4 linked regions of the Callithrix jacchus genome follow. The protein of the gene in region 1 interacts with the protein of each later gene in a biochemical or structural test. Links are inferred from orthologs where the notes say so. Each region holds a gene or a part of one and is shown on either strand. Other genes may lie near its edges.

Region 1 (5,728 bases):
ATTACAGGCATGCACCACCACGCCCAGCTAATTTTTTGGATTTTCATTAGAGACAGGTTTCTCCGTGTTGGCCAGGCTGGTCTCGAACTCTGAACTTCAGGAGAGCTGCCTGTCTCAGCCTCCCAAAGTGCTGGGATTACAGGCATGAGCCACCACACCCATCCACCTGGCTAGTTTTTTTTTTTTTTTTTTTTTTAATCCAAGTCATAGCACCAAAAAAAAATTAAAAATTGTTGAAGAGATGGGGTTTCACTATGTTGCCCAGGGCAACTAATTCCTGGCCTCAAGCATTCCTCCTGCTTCAGCCTCCCGAAGTGCTAGGATTACAGGCTTGAGCCACTGCATCCAGTGCATCTCATATGCTTCAGATCACCTCTACATTACTTACAGTACCCAATGCAATGTAAATGCTATGTAAAGAGTTGTTATACTGTATTGTTCAGGGAATAATGACAAAATAGTTTGTACATGTTCCTTTTTTTTCCCCCAAATATATTCAACCCTTAGTTGATTGGTCCATAGATAAGGAACCTACAGATATGGCAGGCCAGGTGTATCCATCCAGATCATAGGGGAGGGATGTGGCCTGGTGATATAAGGTTAAAGAGTCACTTGTCTAGAGATTATAGCAGGAATCATCTGATGGGATGAGATGATCCAGGAATAATGGGGAAAGCAAGAAGCAACCTTTAAGGATCAGGAAAAAAATACTCTGGAAGAAAACAGAACTAGGAGGAAAATGAAGAGAGAGTTCTGTGCTGGAGAGGAAGGGTGTTTTAATAAGGGGGACATGGCTACAGAGAGATGTGAACGGGTGGTGAGGACTTTGAGTGTGCAAGTATGCCACACTTTCAAATAGCTAGGCTACAACAGGCAGAAGCTAGCATACATAAGACAAACATTTTTAAAGATGGGTGAGACTTTAGAGATGGGCAAGCCAGTAGTGAAAGAGGTTAATGATAAAGATGAGAGACAGATTGGAGATGAAGGAAGATTTCTGAAATAATGAGAGGTAATGAGATACAAAGCAAGGTACATTCTATTAACCTGGAAAAGAGGATGGATAATCTATTCTGAAATAAGAAGGTAGAAGGGAACAGTGGAATCAGGTGTGAGGGAAATACCAGATTGTGCTCAACATGTTTGCATACTATTCCCATCTTTACATACTTTCTCAACAATACTGCAAAGTAGGAGGTTTGATACATCTTCAGTTCATAAAGGAATCGATAGCACAGTTGGTAAGTAAATGGTGGTAAGTAAATGGTAGATTAGGGTTTGAGTCTAAGTATGTCTGCCTCCAAAGTTTAAATAATCTTTCTGCTGCACAGCTTCATCCCCAGTCTGTGAAATTGGGACAATAACAGAACCAGAGGCCAGGTGAGGTGACTCACATCTATCCCAGCATTTGGGGAGGCCAGAGTTCGAAGATCACTTGAGCCCAGAAGTTCAAGACCAGCCTGGGCAATATAGTGAGACCTCATCTCTAGTAAAAATTTAAAAATTATCCCGGTGTAGTAAGGCAGACCAGTGGTCCCAGCTACTCAGGAGGCTCAGGCAGGAGGATCACTTGAGCCCAGGAGGCTGAGGCTGCAGTGAACTACGTTCACACCACTGCACTGTAGTCTGGGGAACAAAGTGAGACCTGGTCTCAAAAAACAAACAAACAGCATAATTAGGAGGATTTGGGAAGGTAGTGCTTCTACTGCAGGACTTGGATGAAGGTTAACTTTCTCTTACCTATTCTTTTGGAGGAGAAAAACTCAAGACGACTTCCCAGGTTGTAATTTCCCAAGCTTTTTTTTTTTTTGTCCAGCTCCTATGCATGTCTGACAATATTTCTCATACCATCTTTCAGTAACACTTTGATTTTGCTCATACTTGCCTCACCATCACAATTACCTTTATGTTCACAAGGTCTCTGGGCCTTGCTGTCATTCCTTCATTTGGCCAAAAAATGCTTCTTCCTGAAAGTCCCCCATGAAGCATCCTCCTAGTACGAAGTACAGTTTACTAGCTCCCCAGTTTCCCTTTTCTCCTCCTTCAAGTACACGCATACCTAATGTAAGACAGGACCTTCCTCGTCCGAACTGTTGGTGTCAAGTACACAGGAGTGACACAGCCTTGAATCTAATTCCCTAGCACTTTGAATAAATCTGGAAAGACTGGTATGCTTACAAGATGATAAAAATGTACAAAATAAACATTTAAATTATACAGAATTTTTTTTTTCTTTTTTGCTTTTCTTGTCTCTGCACAGCCATTAGTTTCTGAAGATCAGACAGCAGCCCTGATGGCCCATCTCTTTGAAATGGGATTCTGTGACAGGCAGCTGAACCTGCGGCTGCTGAAGAAACATAATTACAACATCCTGCAGGTTGTGACAGAACTTCTTCAGATTAACAACAACGACTGGTACAGCCAACGTTATTGAGGAGTGACCTTGTATTAAATAATTGCCTGCTGCTCAGAGATGATCTTTATTCTGTCATTGGGGTTAAGCACTTGCTTATTTTTCATCTGATGAATCTGTATAGAGCCCATCATTGAGTTACCAAGACAGTACCTATTACAGTATTTGGGGGAGCAAATCAAAGACCAGAACTTAAATTTTCACTTTAGACATTGGATGAATAGAATAGTAGGAAGACAGTTTTGATTTGGATAAAACGCCTTTATTTTAGTGCATCGACAAGTGTAACTTCAAGTTCGTATAGAACCATTTTTCTTTCTGCTTTTATTGAAGTTGGGTATTTTTCTTTGGTTAATGTGGATATTTTATGGGAGTATCTGTTAATTTTCAGGTTTTGAAAGAAATTAACCTTGGAAGTTGTTTTCAAGAACTATTCTCATAATTTCTGTAATCTACCCCAAGCTTCATAGTTATTTGGCATTGAAATAACACCCAGAGCATGATAGAAATGTTGTTGTTATTCCTTTCTCAAGGAGAAAGTAATTTTCCTGCAAGACTTAATAATTGGCACTATTGCTAAAGACTCCATGGTGCATTCAAGGGTATCCAACTTTCAGGGATCTCTGCATTTCAGTGAGAGGAGGAAGAGTGTGCTGATTAACCCACCAGCACCTATTGAGCGATGTCTGTTATAGTAATTCTGCATACATTTTTATTTAAGGGAAAAAAAATTAAGTAGGTAGTGTGAAATATTTTGCTAACCTAATAGAAAAGGAAAAAAGTCCTATTATTTAAAGGGAAAAATACATTTAACAGTTACCTTTTTTCTTAATGTCAGGGCAGATCTTATTTTACAGTACAGTGGGGGAAATAGAAACATGTGAAAAGCAAAAGGCAGGCTCCTAAATTAATGTCAGTAAAGTTCAGGGTGGGTAAATTAGTGCGTATGAGGTATAGGAAATGCTGATGACTTCTTTAATGCATGAAGTCCATTCAGAGGTATCTAGCCCTAGAAAGCCTAGAACAGGAAGAGGCAGCTGGTGTTCTGCAGAACTTGGACGAGGGCAAAGTTGCTGAAAAAGTTTTGGTTTAACCCCAAGGTAAGTGGGACAGAGCTCGTCCAGGGGCCCAAGTTCTCTATTTACAGAAGGGAGTTGGTGAAGGAAGAGGTAACAAAAAATGCTAAACATTTTATCCATGAAAATGACTTCCAGAAAAGGAAGAATCTGAACCCCAGACCGAAGGGGGGAAAGATAATTAAAATAGTATTATCTAACCTGGTTGGTATTTGTAATGAATGGTGATTTTAATTAGTCATTAGCCATAATGATGTTTATTTGCAGTATTATCCTGAATGCTACTTAAATAAACCAGGATTAAAACTACAAGCCAACCAGGCCGTTCATTATTTAAAACGTTTTAATTAGGGCTTCCGGATTGAAGATGGAGCAGCTGGGTGTCTGTAATTGGGTTGATGGGCGGGACCTGTCTTGACCATCGGCGTTTTATAGTCGAGGGCCAGGAAGGTCCGGGTCGTCCGCTCCGTTTTAATTTTACGTAACCACTTAAAGAATGGTGAAATAAATGTTCTTGGAAATTCCTACCTGGACTGGCTAGTCCTTGCCGAAGCAGCGTCCGGGGCCTCAGGTGACGTTTGGAGAGCCGAGAGCGTCTCAGGCCGCTGCTTGGCGAAGGGGCGGGCCCGGGGACGAGGGGGTGGGCCCAGAGGGGCTGGGGCGGGACTTCCCTGGGCACTGAGTCAAAGCTTGAGGCGAGTGTCCGCTTCCCCACTTTCGATTCCGCTTGCTGCCGTTTCTGTCGCTGCGATAGTCCGCTGGTAAGACCCTCCTCAGACTCTTTGCGTTCCCTTTCGGAGGTCAAGAGACCTCCTGTGCCGCCGCCTCGCCCTACACACAGGCGCCCCGTGCCCGGGTACCGAACTTGACTAACGGCCTCTCGGGGTATCTGGTGGGACTTGAAATCCTCCCTCAATGAAGTCACACCTTCTGCGTCCGCGCACACCCTGTCGGCCCATGACAGAGCCGCCATGTACCCCGGAATCAGCTTGGCCCTTCGGGGAGGTCAGGGTCCTTAGTATCCTCACTCTCTAGTGCGACACATTCGGTCCCCTAGGACTCCTGAAGGCGGCAGGCGGCGCTTCTCCTCCCCACCACCGCCCAACCCAGCCCACTCTGCCCTTAGAGGCCCTTCTCCCCAAAGACACACTCCTGAAATGTCGCCCTTATGCAGCTGAGGAGCCTGGGATCCCAGAACTGAACGAGGCGAGTCTCCCTGTATTTTAGCCCAGAAAGATCTGTGTGGCTCACTTGCCGGCCTCCTTGTGCCACACAGAGTCCAGATTTATCCTTGACTTTTCCTAGTGAAAGACCCTGATTTCTCCTCAGGGTTTCTTACCCCGCCTGAGAAAGCAGTGCGGCATCTGCTTTCTCTACCAGGGCTTCCTTAGGGGTCTTAACCACACCTGTGACCAGTCTGGCCTCCTCTCTCCTTGTTTCAAGGAATCTTTTCTGCCCTATCCAACTTCCTTCCTTTGAAGTGAATGATAGCTCAGCAACTTTTCCAGAGAAAAACTAAATCCTCTGCCATTCACTTACAGAAGTTCCTTAAAGTGAAATAACTTCTGCTTTTCTTTTCCCTTTTGAGGCAGAGTGGTCTCTTTAACAATAATGAAAGGAGTTGAAATGCATTGAGACTCTGAGAATCCCATGTAACCACACTCTATCTTCCTTAGGCTTGAGCTTACTTAAACTGTGGTGGGGTTCCTTGCAAATCTTTTTTTTGTTTTTGAGACGGAGGAGTTTCGCTCTTGTTACCCAGCCTGGAGTGCAATGGCGCAATCTCGGCTCACCGCAACCTCCGCCTCCTGGGTTCAGGCAATTCTCCTGCCTCTGCCTCCTGAGTAGCTGGGACTACAGGCGTGCGCCACCATGCCCAGCTAATTTTTTGTATTTTTAGTAGAGACGGGGTTTCACCATGTTGACCAGGATGGTCTTGATCTCTTGACCTCGTGATCCACCTGCCTCGGCCTCCCAAAGTGCTGGGATTACAGGCTTGAGCCTCCGCGCCCGGCCCCTTGCAAATCTTGAGAACCTCAAACCAAAATTGCATCTGGCTTCAGTGCTAACAAGCTTAGCACTGAACTTTGGTCTTTTCTCATTAGTGAACCCCCACCCCACCCTGAAGAATGGGTAAGACATTTTCCCAGCTGGGCTCTTGGCAGGAGAATGAGAACAAGTCAATCCTGTCCTCCAATCCAACCATTGGCAGCAAGGCTGCCAGCTACTCCAGTACCAG
Region 2 (5,755 bases), about 120 Mb from region 1:
TTACTGAATAGAGATTAGTGGGGCTAAGAACTAATCTGGAGGGGGGCAAGTGATCCTTCCTGAGACCTGAAGGGTAAGCAGCTGTCAACTAGATGGACGGGCAGAGAACATTCCAGGCAGAAGAAACAGTAAAGATCCTGCAATGGGATTAGGTGGAGCCGGAAGAGGGTGGGCAGGGACCTGGGCAAGGTCTCAGAGCGCCAGGGAGTTTGAGCTTTGCCCTAAGGCATGGGAAGCCTTTGGAGGATTTGAAGGCTGGAAGTAACAAGACCAGATGTGGGTTTTGAAAAGCTCCCTCTGGCTGCCAGGGAGAATGGGGTGGGTGTGAGTTTGAGAGCAGGGAGCCCAGGGACCAAGCTTTGCTATTTAGATGACAGTGGCTGTCTAGAGTAGTGACTGTGGGGATGTATCGAAAGGGTAGATTTGAGTTTAGGTCATGGTGGCTTGTTGTATGAGAGACGTCTCAGGCAATTTTGTGGCCTGGGCACCTGGATGGAAGATGGGGGCATGGATGCCCAGTGGGAGAAGTGGGTTTGACAGGGGGAAGGTGAGTTTGATGTGGACCTGGCTGGGGTGGAAGTGCCTGTCAGAGGAGGGGGCACAGGCCTCTGGTTGCACAGGCACCAGGCTGGCATTCGAGGCCAGAGCTTAGGATGGAGGTGTAGACCATGGGTGGGGGCACGGGGAGTCTGGACAGCTTCTGAGAGGCCAACAGACCTTGCAGTGTCAAGTACGGGCCCTAAGGTGGGGCCCTGCGCAGGGCCTCTCCAGTGATTGTTGATTCAGGGCCAGGCAGGGGCTCTGTCTCCCATCACCTGCTAGCCTCTCAGGGGTCCTGGGTTCACGGGGTGGTACCCTGCAGCACCTCACATCCTCTCTCTCTCCCCCCAGATCCTGCTCATCTCTGATTACTTCTATGCCTTCCTGCGGCGGGAGTACTACCTCACACACGGCCTCTATTTGACGGCCAAGGACGGCACGGAGGCCATGCTTGTGCTCAAGTAGGCCTGGCTGGCACAGGGCTGCATGGACCTCAGGGGCGGGAAACTGGGCCAGGCCCTCCAGCCAGAGTTGCCAGCAGGCGAGTCCTTGGGCAGAAGAGGTTCAAGTCCAGGGTCACAAGTCTCTGGTATCAAAAGGGACCCATGGCTGACTGCAAGACCTCTGGGGAGGAACTGGGAGCTCTGGAAAAGGCAGGTGAGCAGGGCTTGTTAGGTTGTGGCTACTTAATAAATGTTTTTTGTTACGAAACCTACCCTGGGCCCATATCTGCATTGCACTCCTGGGGGTGGCCCCTAATGTTCTGGAAAGTACACACAGGTGTGTGTTTCTGGTATGTCAGAGCCCAGGGACGGTTCGGACAGCCCCACCAGCACCCTCCCCACTCCCAAGCAAGCAGCTGGAGGCATAGGGCCAGGCAGGCCTGAGCAATCTTTATTCTGCAGAGGGACAATGACCACAGATCCATACACCATGTGGAGATGGAGGGGTGGGGGGGCCAGTCTTTCAGGGGTGGGCAGGTCCAGGTAGTGGGCAGAGCCTCGGGTGGGTGAGGGGCAGGCAGGGGCCTAAAAAAAAAGATGAACCACACAGCAGGAGTGTGGGGGGATGCTTCCCACCTTCCCCCATCCCAGCCAGCACCCAGAGGGGCAACCCTAACAAAACCACTTAGGGGCAGAGGAGGTGGGTTGGTGCCCTCTGACTACGGGGCCACATCCCTGCCCAGCCCACCCCCAAGCAGAGGCAGCTCAGTTCAGGAACCAGGGGTTCTCTGGGCAGGGCCTGACCGGGCTTCCCCCCACTCCCAGGCCGACCCCCCTACTGCTGGCTCAGAAGCCGAAGGTTTCCTGGGAGGCGTAGACCATGTAGAGGAAGCCGTCCTCGTCTTTCTCCTGCTCGTAGATGTCCGCGATGGGCGTGGACACGCTCACCATGCTGTGCTGGCTCACCAGCAGGAAGAAGGCCTGAGTGGGGTTCAGCTGCAGGCGGCGCCTGAGGCAGGCGGGAGGGTGTGCGGCTGTGAGGGACGTGGCTGCAGGGCAGGCACAGCCCTGACCCCCAGAATGATTCCCAGCCTTTCACATCCATCCTCACCCCAGCTCTCACCTCTGACCCGACTCCAACTGCAGCCCCGACCTTGACCTTTCCAGCCGCGCCAGAACAGGGGCCCACCGCCTGGTCCCATCACTACTGACCCCACTCCCACCTCCTCTCGGCGGGAACCCGGCTCCCCGCCAGACCCAAGCTGCCTCCTGGCGGCGGCTGCCCACGCACCGGATGATCTTGACCAACTCGCTCATGTTGACATGGTCCGGGACCAGGAACTTGGTCTTGTCCAGGACGGGCAGCTGCTTCTCACCCTTGTAGCGCTCGATGATCACCTGGGAGCGGGGCAGGCGGGCAGGGGTTCGTGTCGGGGGCGCGCGAGGCGCGGCCAGGGCGGGGCAGGGCTGGGGGCACCGGACTCACCGGGATCTTGCTGGGGTGCTGGTCGCGGATCTGCTGTACCTCCTTACAGCGGTCGGCTGCGGATGGCGGCCGGACCTTGAGGCCGGGCTGAGCCGGGCCCAGGTCCTCCCCGTGTCTCCGCCCCGCCTGTCCCCAAGGGGCGGCCCCCGGCCCCGCCCCAGCTCCAGCCCCCGCCCCCGGGGCCGGCAGGCCCCACAGCCCCTAGCACCTATCATGGTGGGGAGGTGGGCGGCCTCCGCCCAGGCTGGAGTCAGCCTCCCATCCCGAGGGTCCGGCTGGGGCCTGACGTCACAGGACTGACGTCACCCGCGGTAGTCGGGGTCGGCCGGGCCCCCGCGTACCCCTGCTCCGAGCTCACAGCTTGCCCGCGGGGCCTCACCGAAGCTCCGCCGCTGCTTGAAAGGCCGGTCTGAGGGCATCGCGCGGGCCCGGTTGGGCGCGCAGGCCGGGGCTCTGGGACGTGGGGATGTGGCTGCGGTTTGGGGGCTCCGGGGGCTCCGTGCCTCACGCTGAAGGGCTCCGGGGCTCGCGCTGAGCGCGGCGGCGGCGGCTGCGGGAGGTAACTCGCCCGGTGACGTCAGGTCACAACATTCCTTAAAGGGGAGGCCGGCGCACTGCTCCCATTGGGCCGACGCACAACCTGCCCGCCCGGGCTCATGACGTCACGGCGCAGAGCCCCTGGGTCCCCGGCTCGGGACGCGAGGGGCGGGGCTCCTGGGCGCGTCACAGTCCTGTGACGTCATGGCCGGCCCAGGAGTCTCTCCCGGCGCGGAACTCAGGTGAGGCCTGGAGGGCGGCGGGGCTGCCAAGGGCTGAGGGAATGGGCGGGCCAGGCTGCAGCCCCGCGGCACCGCTCCCCGCGCCCTCACCGAGTCTGTGCCAGGCCTGGCGCGATTCTGGGCACCGTGGGAAACAGCCGGCGCCTTCTAGGGGCTCAGGACGAGAGACGGGAGAAGGTGCAGGAGGCACAGGATCAAGCAAGACATCACAAAAGAAGGCCCAGGTTTGCAAAGGAATTCTAGAATTGACAAGTAGAGCCATGGAAATTCAGGTCTCGGAGGATGAGGTGTAGGACAGCAGAAAAGAGTGCGCGGACCTGGAGGCTGATCGGAAGCAGCTCACCAGAGAGACAGGTGATGGAGAATAAAAAGGAAAAAGCCACGGATGGCAATGCCGGGAGATCTCACAGGCCGGGGCAGAGCTCCCTGCAGAGGCAGTTCCTGAAGGAGAGCTGCCAGAAGTGATTCTTAAAATCGGGTGGAATGCAAACACCGGAGATGAACATCTGGACGCTAGTGAATCTGCAGAACTCCAAAGACTATGCGATTTTAAAAGCGACCAAGGATGATGGATTTTAAAAATTACACCAATAACAAACTTCTCAGCAGCAAACGTAGAAGGCTACAGTAAAATGTAACGCTTTACACCTCGTTGACAGGAAAAATGCTGTCAACGAGGTGTTGATCCATGATTTAAGAGTTAAGAAGTAAAGATAGGTGGTGACAAAGAGCTTACACGAAAGACTGTTGCTGAAATTATTTTTGGGGGGTGGGACTGAGTCGTTCTGTCGCCCAGGCTGGAGTGCACTGGCGCAATCTCAGCTCACTGCAACCTCCACTTCCCGGGTTCAAGCGATTTCTCCTGCCTCAGCCTCCTGAGTAGCTAGGACTACAGGTACGTGACACCACACCCAGCTAATTTTGTATTTTTAGTAGAGACGGGGTTTCACCACGTTGCCCAGGATAGTTTTGATCTCCTGACCTCGTGATCCATCCGTCTCCGCCTCCCAAAGTGCTGGATTACAGGCGTGAGCCACTGAGTGCGGCAGCTGAAATAATTTTTAAAGAATGTACTTCAGTAACAAGCACATGGAACCGAAAAGGAAGAAATTAGATGGAAAAATGGTGAGCAAATTGGTAAACGTGAGTAAATCTAAACAAGCATGTAATATGCAACATGAATAATGATTAATTTGCGGGCTACAGAAACAAGATGTATGAGACGCAAGAACTTGGAAGACTGAGAGGGCAGAGTTAAGGTGTTCTCGGAAGGGTAAAGAGACTGAGCATTGTTAGGCTTTGTAAAGTTAGGTGAGTATTTCAGATATTTAAGAGGGATCATCAAAAGAGTAGAAACGGAACTGTAACTGCCAATGCCGAGAAAAGGGTGGTGATGGGTATTAAAACTAATAGCAAAGTAAAGCAAAGTAAAAGGGATGGTAAATAAATGGTACAAAACCCGAGGCAGAAAATGTGGTTTACCTTCATTTCTCAAAACACAGATTACCAGATCGGCCAAGAAAAAATAAAATGCAGCTCTATGCTGTTTACAAGAGGACATTTAAAACCTAAGGGCACCAAAAGTAAAAAGATGGCAGCTGGGTACAGCGGCTCACGCCTGTAAGCCCAGCTCTTTGGGAGGTCGAGGCAGGCTGATCACTAGGTCAGGAGTTGGAGACTAGCCTGACCAACATGGTGAAACCTCGTCTCTACTAAAAATACAAAAATTAGACAGGCATGGTGGTGCACACCTATAATCCCGGCTACTCAGGAGGCTGAGGCAAAAGAATCGCTTGAACCCCGGAGGTGGAGGCTGCAGTGAGCCACGATTGTGTCACTGCATTGCAGCCTGAGCAACAGAGCAAGACTCGGTCTCAAAAATTAAATTAAAAATTAAAAAGTTAAGATGGAAAAAGGTATGCTAGAGAAAGACTAACCAAAAGATGTACCTATAGAAAACTCAGACAAAATAGGCTTTCAGGCAGAAGACACTGGGGATAAAGAGGATCACCAGGAAATGAAAGGAGGAACTCTATGGAGAGAGAAAAGTTTTGAACTTCCATGTTCCAGGGTTTCTTAAGGCTGAAAATAGGCTAGGCATGGTGACTCATGCCTGTAATCCCAGGACTTTGGGAGACCAAGGTGGGCAGATAACTTGAGGCCAGGAGTTCAAGACCAGGCTGGCCAACATGGCAAAACCCTGTCTCTACTAAAAATACAAAAATTAGCTGGATGTGGTGGTGCATGCCTGTCATCCAGCTACTTAGGTGGCTGAGGCAGGAGAATTGCTTGAACCTGCTATGTGGAGGTTGCAGTGAGTCGAGATTGTGCCGCTACCCTCCAACCTGGGTGACATACCTGAAATCCCAGCACTTTGGGAGGCCCAGACTGGAGAATTGCTTGAGCCCAAGAATTCAGGGGTACAGTGAGCTGTGAATGCACCTCTGCATTGCTGCCTAGGTGACAAAATAAGACCGATTTCTTTTTTTAAAAAATCAGATTTTTAT
Region 3 (6,437 bases), about 47 Mb from region 1:
CTAATTTTTTGTATTTTTTTAAGTAGAAGCAGGGTTTCACCATGTTGGTCAGGCTGGTCTCAAACTCCTGACCTCGTGATTTGCTCACCTGGGTCTCCCAAAGTGCTGGGATTCCAGGCGTGAAACACCACACCCAGCCAATTTTTTGAGTTTTAGTAGAGATGAGATCTCGTTATGTTGCCCAGGGTGGACTCAAACTCCTGAGCTCAAGTGATCTTCCCATCTTGGCCTCTCAAAGTATTAGGATTACAGGTGTGAGCCACTGTGTCAGGCCAAGTGTGTTTCAAGTGAGGCACAATGGCAATAAGTTTGACTAGAAGCATCAATAAGTATGAGATCTGGTGATTAAAACTTGATTTTAGGCTGGGCGTGGTGGCTTGCGCCTCTTTTCATCAGCACTTTGGGAGGCTGAGTTGGGCGGATCACCAGAGGTCAGGAGTTCCAAACCAGCCTGGCCAACATGGTGAAATCCTATCTCTACTAAAAATACAAAAATTAGCCAGGTGTGGTGGCAGGCATCTGTAATCCCAGCTACCTGGAAGACTGAGGTAGGAGAATTGCTTAAACCCAGGAGGTGGGGGTTGCAGTTCATTGTGATTGCGCCATTGCACTCCAGCCTGGTGGAGAAGAGTGAGACTGAAGTCTTACAAAAAAAAAAAAAAAAAAAAAACCTTAATTTTATTTTGGAGTATAAATCAGGAAAGTTTTACTTAGGTTGTTGACTTCCGGTAGTGGGAGGTATATATTTTTAAATAATAATTCCTCCTTCTCTACAGTAAGAGAAAAACACCCAGTCTCTCTTCAATTCTGTTTCTTCTCTTCTGCATTTTCACCTACCTACCCTAGACAATGCCATCCCCATCAAATCCTGGTTCAGTGACCCCAGCGACACAGCCCTTCTCAACCTGCTCCCGATGCTGGATGCCCTCAGGTAAGGGAAGTGGGCTCTGGACCCTTGGATTTCTGAGGAAAGGAGGAGGTGGGAGATCCTAAGAGGGAATAAAAAACATTTGTCCTGTTTTACTTAGCTCTCTTCCCTTAAGAATTTAACATTTGGACCCAGGTCTTCTTACGTCAAAGCTCATCACTTTACCTAGTAGGCTGTGGGCAAATTGGACCTACCTAATCATGTGAATATGGTGATAATGTATGCCCCACCCCTCCAATGATGCATCTTATATTAGTGTTATGAGGGTATCAATATAAGGAGCTCTACCTATGCAAGTTATTGTCGTTGTCATCCTAGGTTCACTGCTGATGTCCGTTCCGTGCTGAGCCGAAACCTTCACCAACATAGGCTCTGGTGACAGCTGCTCCCCCTCCACCTGAGTTGGGGTGGGGGGGAAAGGGAGGGCTAGCCCTTGGGATGCCGTCTGATACCCTGTCCAATGTGAGGACTGCCTGGGCAGGGTCTGCCCGTCCCACCCCTCGCTGCCCTTGGGAGCTCTACACTCCACTTGGAGTCTGGATGGACACATGGGCTGGGAGCTCTGAAGCAGCCTCACTCTAACTTCGTGTTCACACTCCGTGGAAACCCCAGATTGGGACATAGGCGGAGGCCTAGGAGAGCTGAAACAGTGTTTGTGATGGAGAGGCAGGACTGGCCAGAGTGACAGACATACGGTGATCCAGGAGACTCAAAGAGAAGCCAAGTCAGCTTTGTTGTGATTTGATTTTTTTTAAACTCTTGTACAAAACTGATCTAATTCTTCACTCCTGCTCCAAGGGCTGGGCTGTGGGTGGGATACGGGGATTTTGGGCCACTGGTTTTTCCCTCAATTTGTCCCCCCTTTACTCTCGTATTTTTCTCTCCTTAGACTCCCTCAGACCTGTAACCAGCTTTGTCTTTTTTCCTTTCCTCTCTTTTAAACCATGCATTATAACTTTGAAACCAAAGCGGCCCTTAGGTCCTTCTCTGGGGTTTTGGGAAGTGAGGGGAGGGCACTTTATTCACATGCACCCTGTCTCCAGAGCAGTGGGCGAAGAGCCTACTGCTGGACTCGAGGGCACGGGGAAAGGTGCTGTTGAGCATGAGGATACAATAGTGAATGTGGACACCAGATGCTTTGGCGGGAAGGGCCGAGTGACAGGATGGGCGCACTGGTGTGGAGTGGAAGGATACCTTTGGAGCAGTAGGCTATTGAAGGCCGAAAGGAGAAACCTGGGCGGCCAAAGGGCGTAGAGCTAGAGAAACGTCGGGCTTCGATGGGAGCACTGATATGGACAGACTACGCGGGCGCTGCCCCCTAGGGCCGCCTCGACCTCCGCTCTCGGAAGAGGGGCCCCTCCCCGACGTTGCTCAGCTGGCCCCGCCCCCCCAGCCGGCCCTACTTTCCGCCCCCCCAGCCGGCCCTACTTTCCGCACCCGCCACGTGACGCTCCGCCCTCTCTGAGATCACATGATTTCACTCAAACTGCGATGTTCCTCCGCGCTGGCGTAGTCCTTACCTCTTGGACCTCCTCTCCAGTCCCTATTGGTCTACTCATTCCTGGTACTTAAGCGTTCTGTACATCTCTCCAAACATCCGTTTTCTTTTTGAACTCTTATTTGTGGAGATCATCTCTGTCCCTTGGGTACTACTTTGTTTTGGTGTCAACGGCCGCCTTCAGCGTAGCAACGCGTTTTGTGAATAGCCGACCTTGTAATTGTCTCTGCTGTTCCTCTACGTTATTTCCGAAAGGAACTTGGGAAACCAAGTCTCATGGTTATTACCATCTCATACTCCTCTTGAGCCCCAGCTTCCTTGAGGGGGAGGTTGGGGAATAGGTTTAGAGGTATTTTCAATGAGTGAAAACCAACCGTCTTTGCTACGTCTTCTGCGTATCCCACACATTAATTCCAAAGCGATTACGCTAATGGCGTGAGGGGGAGGGTCAGTGGGTGTTGCTACGCTAGCAGCGTTAGTGCCGATGAGGTAGTGGCGTATCTTAACGGGGGGGCCGTCCTGTTAGTCGGGGGCGGGGTTGGTGAATAGGGAAGTGGCGCAAATTCGTGGATCGCTCCGCTGATTCCGCCCGCCCGTCGCCACTGTTGCCGCCGTCCCCCGTCCGGCCCCCCCCTCCCGGGTTCCCTCAGCCCAGCCCGGTCCAGCCCGGTTCTCGGGAGGATGAAGTTCGTGTACAAAGAAGAGCATCCATTCGAGAAGCGCCGCTCTGAGGGCGAGAAGATCCGAAAGAAATACCCGGACCGGGTGCCGGTGAGGACAGTAGCCTGGGCGGAGGGCGCGGGACGCTTACGCTGACGCCACAGCCTGGCCTTGGATTTGGGACGGGCAGCGGGAGGATCAGGCTGCTGGCTATGGCGGGATTGGAAGCGACCCTGAAACTGCTGTCCCTGGGACCGAGGATGAAAGGGGTGGGGTAGTGGTGGACCTGGAGTAGAGAGGGATGTAGACAGGAGAGAGAAACCTTGGCATTTGTGAGTGGAGGCCTTAAGAGAGTTTGACAGCCTGAGCTTCAAGTGGTCATCCCCCCAGCTAGTTGAGGTTGTGAGATTGAAGCACTAGTCGGCCCAGACAAGTCATCTCCATCTGATTAAGATAGTTGTTTATGGTGACGCCCTATTCGGGGGATGGATCCTGGCTATTTAAATGAACTCCAGTCAGTAAGGTCAGGATCTCTGGGACTCAGGGCTGCACCGCGTGTGCAAAGACAGATGAGTCTGGGGTAGATTTAGGTGCAAGGGTTATTGTTACTTGAGTTCTTGACAGGTGCAGCTGCGGGGCTGCATTCCTCTGCCTCCTCATTTTCATCCTCTCTTTATCAGGTGATAGTAGAAAAGGCTCCCAAAGCTCGGATAGGAGACCTGGACAAAAAGAAATACCTGGTGCCTTCTGATCTCACAGGTGGGAACCTGACCCAAGACCCAGGCTTGCTTCCTGTGGGTGGGAGTGCAGTCTCTGCAGGAGGAGGCTCCACCTAGCAGCTGTTCTTTTGAGGGCATTTTTGACCTCTCTGACTTTCTCACACCTTGTATCTTTTGCAGTTGGTCAGTTCTACTTCTTGATCCGGAAGCGAATTCATCTCCGAGCTGAGGATGCCTTGTTTTTCTTTGTCAACAATGTCATTCCACCCACCAGTGCCACAATGGGTCAACTTTACCAGGTACGGTGACTTGGAAGTGGTGGAGGCTTTGGAGAAGCCTCTGGAAGAGCGTGAGCGGAAGAAAGTGTTGTTACATCAGTAGTTTTGCACTAGCTTCCTGACTTGCCTTAAAATTTCATGATAGCAGTGGGTTGGGGGTTTGAACAGAACAGTAGGAGTAGAGAGACGCAAAGAGAACAGTGAGCTAGAGGAACTTTCTGATCAGGACTCTTCCCAGTCCTCCTCCCCTTTCCAGAGCAGCAGACAACCGTTTAAGGTCTTTTTGCCCAGGACTGCAGAGATTATACTGCTTATGCTAGTCCTTGGAGTCAGTGAAGGAGTCGGGCACTGGTTTGTGGTTCTAGAAGACCATAAACTGGTTTGGGTGGTGGTTGGTTGAAGTAAGTTAGGAGCCCAGTTGCTGAACAGTTTTCTGCTTTCATCTCAGGAACACCATGAAGAAGACTTCTTTCTGTACATTGCCTATAGTGACGAAAGTGTCTACGGTCTGTGAAGCTGCTGCCCTTGAGCTGGAGGGGGCTCTCATTCTACAAAGAGAGAGGTGGCCCCCCTTTCTTGACTTCTTCCTCCTTCAAGCTCAAATACCACCTCCCTTATTCAGGACCGGCACTTCTTAATGTTTGAGGCTCTCTCTCCAGCCTCTCTTAGGAGGGGTAATGGTGGAGTTGGCATCTTGTACCTCTCCCTTCTCCTTTTTTCCCCTTTCTCTGCCGGCCTTTCCCATTCTGCTTTAGACTCTTGATTGTCAGTCTCTGTCACATCTAGTGATTGTTTTGGTTTCTGTTCCCTTTCTGACTGCCCAAGGGGCTCAAAACCCCAGCAATCCCTTCCTTTCACTACCTTCTTTTTTGGGGGTAGTTGGAAGGGACTGAAATTGTCGGGGGAAGGTAAGAGGCACATCAATAAAGAAGAAACCACCAAGCTGAGCTGAATTTTGCCTTGTGTTGCTCCCCTCCTCCCGCTGTTTTTTAGTCTTTCCAAGGCGTCAGTGGGTTTCAGTGGTGGGGAAAGAAGAGTAATGGGTACAAGCTGGAGGGATAGAAGTATATTTTGATTTATTCTGTTCATGTTGAGCTTTTCCCGGTCTGCAAAGAGAGGGTGATTTTGTTGTAATGGAATGGAATACTGAGTATCATTTCATAAAACTTTAGTTTTATGACACATATGTGAAACTAAATGTTAAATATGCTTATGTAAAAAATACTGTTCGAAAGTACCTGCTTTAGGTGGACATTTATTAGAACATTTTAATTAAGATATTTTCATGTGTAGGAGCTGGTAAAACGGCTGTTCTCAGTTGTATGTCACTTGGCTAGAGTTTTGCCGGCGAGTGGGATCCGGAGGAGTGGAATCAGGGAGGGAGAAGACTGGGAGGAGGGAGCCATTATCGCCAGGAGTACTTCATCTCCCAGTGATCATTTCTCCCGCAGGCCGGAAGTGGGGCGGTCCCCCGGGGAAGAAAGAAGCTGCAGAACGAGGCAGTATGGTGGCCGAGAGTTCTAATCCCTTCTTCCTCTTCTTTCATCGTCCCGCCCAGCCTACATCTCCCAGGGGTCTGCGCGCGCATTTCCGCTCTCCCCTCCGGCTCCCGGTCTCCCCGCCACTCCCCGGGGGAGGGGAGCGGTTTGGTGCGCCTGCGTCACCCCGTGGCTTTCTGGGAATCCAAGTTCCGGAGGCTCATGCGGTCCCTTTTCCGCTGAACCCGTACGGACTACAAAACCCTTGGTGCACTGCGCCTCGGCGCCGGCGGAGGGAGGAGGGAGAGGAGGGAAGGAGGAGAGAGAAGGAGGAGGAGGGAGCAGGCGGCCGGCGGCGCGGGGGGAGGGGGCCCGGTCCGGGAGTGCGGGAGGCAGTGGTAGAGGGAGGTGGCGGCAGCGGCTAGCGGACTCGTCTCAACCGGGCTGAGGCGGACACTTCTGTGGAGCGAAGCAGTAGGAGCACCGAGCAGTAGAGGCGGCACCGGGATCCCCGGCTCCGGGGAGGGGGGCGCCGGACCGGGAGGAGGGGAGGGGGCGATGCTGGAAGCCATGGCGGAGCCCAGCCCCGAAGGTGAGCTCTAGACCGGCACGGAGCGCGGAGCCGGCGCGGGGCGGGCGAGGAATCAATTGGCAAACTTGGAGGTCGAGCCCCGAAGCCCGGCGGGGGAGTTCGGGGAGGGGGTCGGGAGCCTGGCCCTGGAGGTGGGAGAGCGAGGAGTTGAGAGACCTTGGAGAAAGAGGAGTGGGAGACTGGGCTAGGGGAGTTGGAGATCAGACGGTGTGGGGGATAGGAGCTGGAAACCCGGAGCCTCGGGGACTAGGGGCCGAAAGGGCCACCGGCAGATTGGGGCCCTG
Region 4 (6,588 bases), on another chromosome or scaffold:
GTGCCTGTAGTCCCAGCTACTCAGGAGGCTGAGGCAGGAGAATTGCCTGAACCCAGGAGGCGGAGGTTGAGGTAAGCCGAGATCACGCCATTGCACTCCAGCCTGGGTAACAGGAGTGAAACTCTGTCAAAAAAAAAGAAAGAAAGAAAGAAAGGTTCTTTAGTGCAGAACACTGCATACCTGCTGCTTAATAGTCACACCTGACAGCATACCTCTTTTTTAAGACAGGGAAAGAGGATGAGGCCACTTATCTCTTCAGTGATGCCATTATTTTTATTTGTTTTTTATTCATTTATTTTTTTATTTTTATTTTGAGATGGAGTTTTGTTCTTGTTGCCCAAGCTGGAGTGCAATAGCGTGATCTCAGCTCACTGCAACCTCCATCTCCCCCCGGGTTCAAGTGATTCTCCTGCCTCAGTCTCCCGAGTAGCTGGGATCACAGGCATGTACCACCACACCCAGCTAATGTTTGTATTTTTTTTTTTTTTTTTTTTTTGAGACGGAGTTTCGCTCTTGTTACCCAGGCTGGAGTGCAAGGGCGCGATCTTGGCTCAACGCAATCTCCGCCTCCTGGGTTCAGGCAATTCTCCTGCCTCAGCCTCCTGAGTAGCTGGAATTACAGGCACGCGCCACCATGCCCGGCTAATTTTTTGTATTTTTAGTAGAGACGGGGTTTCACCATGTTGACCAGGATGGTCTCCATTAATGTTTGTATTTTTAGTAGAGACAGGGTTTCACCATGTTGGTCAGGCTGGTCTTGAACTCCTGACCTTGTGATCCACCTACCTCGGCCTCCCAAAGTGCTAAGATTACAAGTGTGAGCCACCTCGTCCTGCGTGTATTTTTAGTTGAGATGAGGTTTTGGTATGTTGGCCAGGCTGGTCTCCAACTCCTGACCTCTGGTGATCCCCCAGCCTTGGCCTGCCAAAATGCTAGGATTATAGGCGTGAGTCACCATGCCTGGCACAGGGGGTTAATTTCTAAGGCCTTGTGATATTGAGAAATACATTTTGTTTTCATCAAATTTCCTGGCATACAACTTCTTAAAATTCTTGGAATTTTCTTTGTTTTTGTTTTTGAGATGAAGTCTCACTCTCTTGCCCAGGCTGGAGTGCAGTGGTGCAATCTCAGCTCACTGCAACCTCCACCTCCTGGGTTCTCATGATTCTCCTGCCTCAGGATCCTGAGTAGCTGGGACTATAGGTGCCCACTATCACACCTGGCTAGTTTTTGTATTTTTAGTGAAGACAGGGTTTCACCATGATGGCCAAGCAGATATGGGACTCCTGACTGCAGGTGATCCACCTGCCCTGGCTTCCTAAGGTGCTGGGATTACAGGCATGAGTCACCTGGCCTGGTGATAAGTGTCTTTTTTAACGTTCATGAGTTGACCGATGGCTGGCAGTCCCTGGATAGCTTCTGGATGGGGGCTGGTCACCAGAAAGACAAAGGTGAGATTAGAGGGTTGGAATTTTTAGCCCCACCTCCAGCCTCTGGGGAGGGTAGAGGGGTTGGAGGTTAAATTGATTATCAGTGGCCAACGGTTTAATCAATCTTGCGGATGTACTAAAACCTCTATAAAAACCCAAAAGGCCTAGGGTTCTGATTTTTGTTATGAGAATATAGGAGAAATGGCATTTGTTCCCTCTATGTATGACTAGAGGCCCATTTTCTTAACTCTAAAAGGGAGATCTTGGGGGCAGTTGTTCTTCCTTCCTTCTTTTATCCCAGAGAAAACTAAATGACAAAATATACCTACCAGAGTGTTGTACTTGGACTTCCTTGTGACAACTCTGGGTTTGTTCGGGTTTTTGCTTGTTCGTTTGTTTGAGATGGAGTTCCATTCTTGTTGCCCAGGCTGAAGTGCAATGGTTGGACCTAAGCTCACTGCAACCTCCACCTCCTGGGTTCAAGTGATTCTCCTGCCTCAGCCTCCCAACTAGCTGGGATTATAGGCTCCTGCCACCACACCTGGATAATTTTTGTATTTTTAGTAGAGACGGGGTTTCAGCATGTTGGCCAGGCTGGTCTCAAACTCCTGACCTCAGGTGATCTACACACCTTGGCCTCCCAAGTGCTGGGATTACAGGCATGAGGCACTGCGCCTGGCCGACAACTATGGGTTTTAATCCAAACTGCATCTGTGTAGCTGTGTGCCCTCGGCCAAATCGTTTCACCTTTTTTTTTTTTTTTTTTTTTTTTTGAGGCAAGTCTTACGCTGTTGCCCAAGCTAGAATGCAGTGGTGCAATCTTGACTAATCACAACCTCCACCTCCCAGGTTCAGGCGATTCTCCTGCCTCAGCCTCCCAAGTAGCTGGGATGACAGGTGCTCACCACCATGCCCAGCTAATTTTTGTATTTTTAGTAGAGACAGAGTTTCACTATGTTGGCCAGACTGGTCTCGAACTCCTGACCTCCTGATCTGCCTGCCTCAGCCTCCCAAAGTGCTGGGATTACAGGTGTGAGCCACTGCGCCCGGCCTCACTTCACCTTTCTTAGTATAGGTTTCCTTCTGTGAAAAGGGCACGGACTGTGGTGAGAATTACACAGCACACTTCAGGCTGAGGTGGATCCATCTTGGACTCCTCTCAAGGTGGTTCTCTACTGAAGTACAGAAACGTCGCCAGCATAAGGCAGTTTTACGTCTCCACGGTCCGCTGCCTAGCCAATGATTTTATTACAAACCCTAATTTCTTTTGCAAAGAAACATCTTGAACTGGTCATGAATAAAGTGGCTTTTCTCTGACCAGCAAGTAGGTGGCGATTCCATTTCCACCAGAACTGACCTCGTGCTGCTCGGGGAGGGGGAGGCGGGTGAGCAGAGGCCTGATGTCACTCAGCTCTACATAAGGGCCCCCTGCAGGCTCCTGCAGGCAGTTTGGAAGCAGCTGGAGGAATGAATTAGGTTCCTGGTTGCAGTACTTTTGTTCTTCTTTTCTTTTCTTTCTTAAAACAGACAAAGCTGTTGAGTGAAATGCCGCCTCCACAGAAAATCCCAAGCGTCAGACCTTTCAAGCAGAGGAAAAGCTTGGGTAAATTTCTTGGGGTACCTTTCTGGGTTACTCGAAAGAGAGGAGAGGATCTGGCTTTCTCTTGATGTTTGCTTATTCTCTTGTGCTTGAAATATTCACAGCAATCAGACAAGAGGAAGTTGCTGGAATCTGGGCAAAGTTCCCAAACAAGATCCCGGTAAGACATCATTGTACTTCCCTTGTGGGGGGCGGGGTTCTGAACCTGTCCTTTGAAAAAACCAAGACCAGCCAACAACTTCCCTCTCTCTGTTCCAAGATCCTAAGACTCAGAGAACTCTGAGTCACATTCTTAAGGACTGACGCTCTTGACAGGTGATAGTGGAGCGCTACCCCAGGGAGAAGTTCCTGCCCCGGCTGGACAAAACCAAGTTCCTGGTCCCGCAGGAGCTGACCATGACCCAGTCCCTCAGCATCATCCGGTAGGTGGCGCAGAGCGTGCCCGGGAGGAAGGTGTCGGGGGTGTGTGGGGGCTCTTCTGTTTCCTTCGTTAGGTGGTTTTATTTTGGGGATGGGGGTATGTCAGGGAAAGAGAGGAAAGAGATTTTTTTGAAGTCATCTTTCAGATTCACTAGTGCCCTGAAAAGATGCTCTTAGAATAATTCTATTTTAAATCCGGGTGCACCGACTCATGCCTGTAATCCCAGCACTTTGGGAGGCTGAGGTTACGAATTCGAAAACAGCCCAGCCAACATGGTGAAACCCTGACTCTACTAGAAATACAAAAATTAGCTGGGTGTGGGGGTGCACGCCTGTAATGCCAGCTGCTCAAGAGGCTGAGGCAGGAGAATCGCTTGAACCTGGGAGGCAGAGGTTGCAGTGAGCTGAGATTGCACCGTTGCACTCCAGCCTGGGCAACAAGAGTAAAACTCCATCTCAAAAAAAAAAAGAAAGAAAGAAAAAATTACTCTATTTTATTTTACACAAAGATGGCTGTATAATTGTCAGTGACCAAACCTTTGGGGTTATTTGGGGAGGAGTTATCTGGGTGTAAAATGAATTGGATTCTAGTTACTCCCATCTCCCACTGCTGCATGGACATAGCCCACCTGAAGGCTCAAAGCTCTAAGATAGGAATGGGTGGGCTGTGCCCGCTTCACCAATTAGAGCACCTGGAGGAAGTGTGCTTAAAGTGAGGCCAAGCCTTCACCTAGGCACCTACGTTTTCACACTGCCATCTGCTCCGGGATAACTGGGCACTCAGATTGCCCTTGGCATTTGAAGCGTGTTCAACTAAATATGGCTGCCTTCCTATCGCCTTGATGTGAACGCAGAAATAACACAGGAAGGAAAGGGCACACTTCAAGGCAGGAGATCCCTTCCAAGTGTCATCCTAGGCTGTTCAACAGTGACATGCCAGGCCGGGCGCAGTGTCTCGAGCCTGTAATCCCAGCACTTTGGGAGGCCAAGGCAGGTGAATCACCTGACATCAGGAGTTCAAGACCAGTCTGGCCAACATGGTGAAACTCCGTATCTTCTAAAAATGCAAAAACTAGCTGAATGTGGTGGCACACGGCTGTAATCCCACCTACTTGGGAGGATAAGACAGGAGAATCGCTTCAACCTGGGTGGTGGAGGTTACAGTGAGCTGAGATCACACCATGGCACTCCAGCATGGGCAACAGAGTGAGTGAAATTCCATCTCAAAAAAAAAGTGAGATGCCAGAGAGACTATGTATCACTTTTGTACCCCTGGGGAAACAGCTTTAATTTCATAGCAAACAGAAGTTATTTACTTAACTTTTTTTTTTTTTTTTTTTTTTGAGATGGCGTCTGGCTCTGCCACCCAGGCTGGAGTGCAGTGGTGTGATCTCCGCTCACTGCAACTTCTGCCTCCTGGGTTCAGACAATTCTCTGCCTCAGCCTCCCAAGTAGCTTACAGGTGCCCACCACCACGCCCGGCTAACTTTTGTATTTTTAGTAGAGACGGGGTTTCACCGTCTTGGCGAAGCTGGACTTGAACTCCTGACCTTGTGATTCCCCCGCCTCAGCCTCCCAAAGTGCTGGGATGACAGGCCTGAGCCACGGCGCCTGTCCAGCGCGCTTAGCAGGTTTGTGTCGTCATCTTTCCCTGCTGTGTTTCCTCGTCGTGTTTTGGCATATTTCATCCATGGAATGACCTCACCCTTTTGACCCAACTACGACTCCTTGTAGTTTCTAAATCTCAGGGAAGAAGGAGGGAGCAATTCCCTCTTCTTGAGCGTCATGATGCTGCAGATCCCTGGGCTGCCTCACAGGTCACCCCCTCACCACCCTCCTGCCCACCCCAGGAGCCGCATGGTCCTGAGAGACACAGAAGCCTTTTACTTGCTGGTGAACAACAAGAACCTGGTCAGCATGAGTGCAACCATGGCAGAGATCTACAGGGACTACAAGGATGAGGACGGCTTCGTGTACAAGACCTACGCCTCCCAGGAGACGTTTGGCTGCCTGGAGTCATCAGCCCCCCTGGGATGGGAGCAGCCTTGAGGACAGACCCTGCAATCCTCTCTAGCCCATGTGGGGAAGAACAGGTGCTCTGACAGACGTATCAGCCGCTGGCAGAAGGGATTGGATTTCTCCTGTATGTATATGGAGGAGTCTGAGAAGCAGGGATGCTGGGAGTGATCAGGTCCAGCTATTGGCAGCAGAGTGGTGGCTCTTCCTAGTTTAGTTTTTGTGCTCCATGCTCTTGTGTTCTTCTAAGAAAAATGTGGGCTGCTCTTGAAAGTTTTGTAATTATAACTCTTTTTTTTTTGAGACAGGTTCTTGCTCTGTTGCCCAGGCTGGAGTACAGTGGCACGATCTTGGCTCACCACAGCCTCTGCCTCCTGGGTTCAAGGGATTCTCCTGCCTCAGCCTCCTGAGTAGCTGGGATAACAAGTGCATGCCACCACACCAGGCCAATTTTTGTAATTTTAGTAGAGACGAGGTTTCACCACATTGGCCAGGCTGGTCTCAAACTCCTGCCCACAGGTGATCCACCCACCTCTGCCTCCCAAAGTGCTGAGATTACAGGTGTGAGCCACTGCATCCAGCCATATAACTCTATTCTAAATAAGAAATGGTTGGCTTGTGTGATGGCTTTGTGTGATGAGCTGGAGATAATATTTTTCAAGTGTCTTCTGTGCTATATGTGGGAGGGCCATTGGGGAGTGGATTTCACTCCCTGCATGTAGGCAGGGATGCCCTGCAGGGCTCAGGCCTAGAGAACCTCCAGCCTGTAGACTGCCTCTGTGGAACCCAATGAAGCCAGTGTGACCCATGATAAGCTCACCTGGAGGCGCCCTCTCCTGTGTCATTAGAGAGATTATCCTGTTTCCCCAGCGTTCACTCTATGTGGTTATTTTCTCTTTTTGTCCTGCTATACCAGACATATTTATGCCAAAGCTGTAACTTCTCAACATAGTCATTTAAATGCACATGTTTACTAGGTGCCAAGCTTTACTCTGAAATAAACATTCTTTATTTTAAAGGAGCTTTATTCTTCGGCTTCTTACCACAACTCTCTATGGCTAACTACTGCTACAGTTGCCCACACAATGGGTGGGTGTGATCGCTTGGTGGGTGACGTCCACT

The links.
Region 2: the proteins of NBR1 (region 1) and MAP1LC3A form a complex in vitro, tested with the Homo sapiens proteins (2 studies listed by BioGRID and IntAct). The link is inferred for Callithrix jacchus from reciprocal best matches to the Homo sapiens genes NBR1 and MAP1LC3A.
Region 3: the proteins of NBR1 (region 1) and GABARAP form a complex in vitro, tested with the Homo sapiens proteins (3 studies listed by BioGRID and IntAct). The link is inferred for Callithrix jacchus from reciprocal best matches to the Homo sapiens genes NBR1 and GABARAP.
Region 4: the proteins of NBR1 (region 1) and MAP1LC3C form a complex in vitro, tested with the Homo sapiens proteins (2 studies listed by IntAct). The link is inferred for Callithrix jacchus from reciprocal best matches to the Homo sapiens genes NBR1 and MAP1LC3C.

What each region holds. Positions count from the first base shown.
Region 1 is NC_133506.1:120,735,546-120,741,273, reverse strand, and holds the end of NBR1 (next to BRCA1 gene 1 protein), read left to right. Parts: intron 1-2,260; coding exon 2,261-2,434; 3' UTR 2,435-3,801; downstream 3,802-5,728. Other genes in the region: uncharacterized protein LOC144582689, read right to left, coding at 4,018-4,462; TMEM106A (transmembrane protein 106A), read left to right, coding at 5,619-5,728. UniProt on the Homo sapiens protein: Ubiquitin-binding autophagy adapter that participates in different processes including host defense or intracellular homeostasis.
Region 2 is NC_133506.1:4,743,903-4,749,657, forward strand, and holds MAP1LC3A (microtubule-associated protein 1 light chain 3 alpha), read right to left. Parts: upstream 3,036-5,755; 5' UTR 2,889-3,035; coding exon 2,849-2,888; intron 2,754-2,848; exon of another isoform or gene 2,685-2,753; coding exon of another isoform or gene 2,678-2,684; intron 2,526-2,677; coding exon 2,470-2,525; intron 2,382-2,469; coding exon 2,275-2,381; intron 1,993-2,274; coding exon 1,830-1,992; 3' UTR 1,413-1,829; downstream 1-1,412. Other genes in the region: GPI-anchor transamidase component PIGU, read left to right, coding at 892-1,005. UniProt on the Homo sapiens protein: Ubiquitin-like modifier involved in formation of autophagosomal vacuoles (autophagosomes). While LC3s are involved in elongation of the phagophore membrane, the GABARAP/GATE-16 subfamily is essential for a later stage in autophagosome maturation.
Region 3 is NC_133506.1:73,731,888-73,738,324, reverse strand, and holds GABARAP (gamma-aminobutyric acid receptor-associated protein), read left to right. Parts: upstream 1-2,984; 5' UTR 2,985-3,107; coding exon 3,108-3,197; intron 3,198-3,766; coding exon 3,767-3,845; intron 3,846-3,985; coding exon 3,986-4,104; intron 4,105-4,531; coding exon 4,532-4,597; 3' UTR 4,598-5,025; downstream 5,026-6,437. Other genes in the region: CTDNEP1 (CTD nuclear envelope phosphatase 1), read left to right, coding at 847-931, 1,247-1,307. UniProt on the Homo sapiens protein: Ubiquitin-like modifier that plays a role in intracellular transport of GABA(A) receptors and its interaction with the cytoskeleton.
Region 4 is NC_133520.1:43,982,350-43,988,937, forward strand, and holds MAP1LC3C (microtubule-associated protein 1 light chain 3 gamma), read left to right. Parts: upstream 1-2,876; 5' UTR 2,877-2,975; coding exon 2,976-3,033; intron 3,034-3,134; coding exon 3,135-3,190; intron 3,191-3,345; coding exon 3,346-3,452; intron 3,453-5,300; coding exon 5,301-5,499; 3' UTR 5,500-6,484; downstream 6,485-6,588.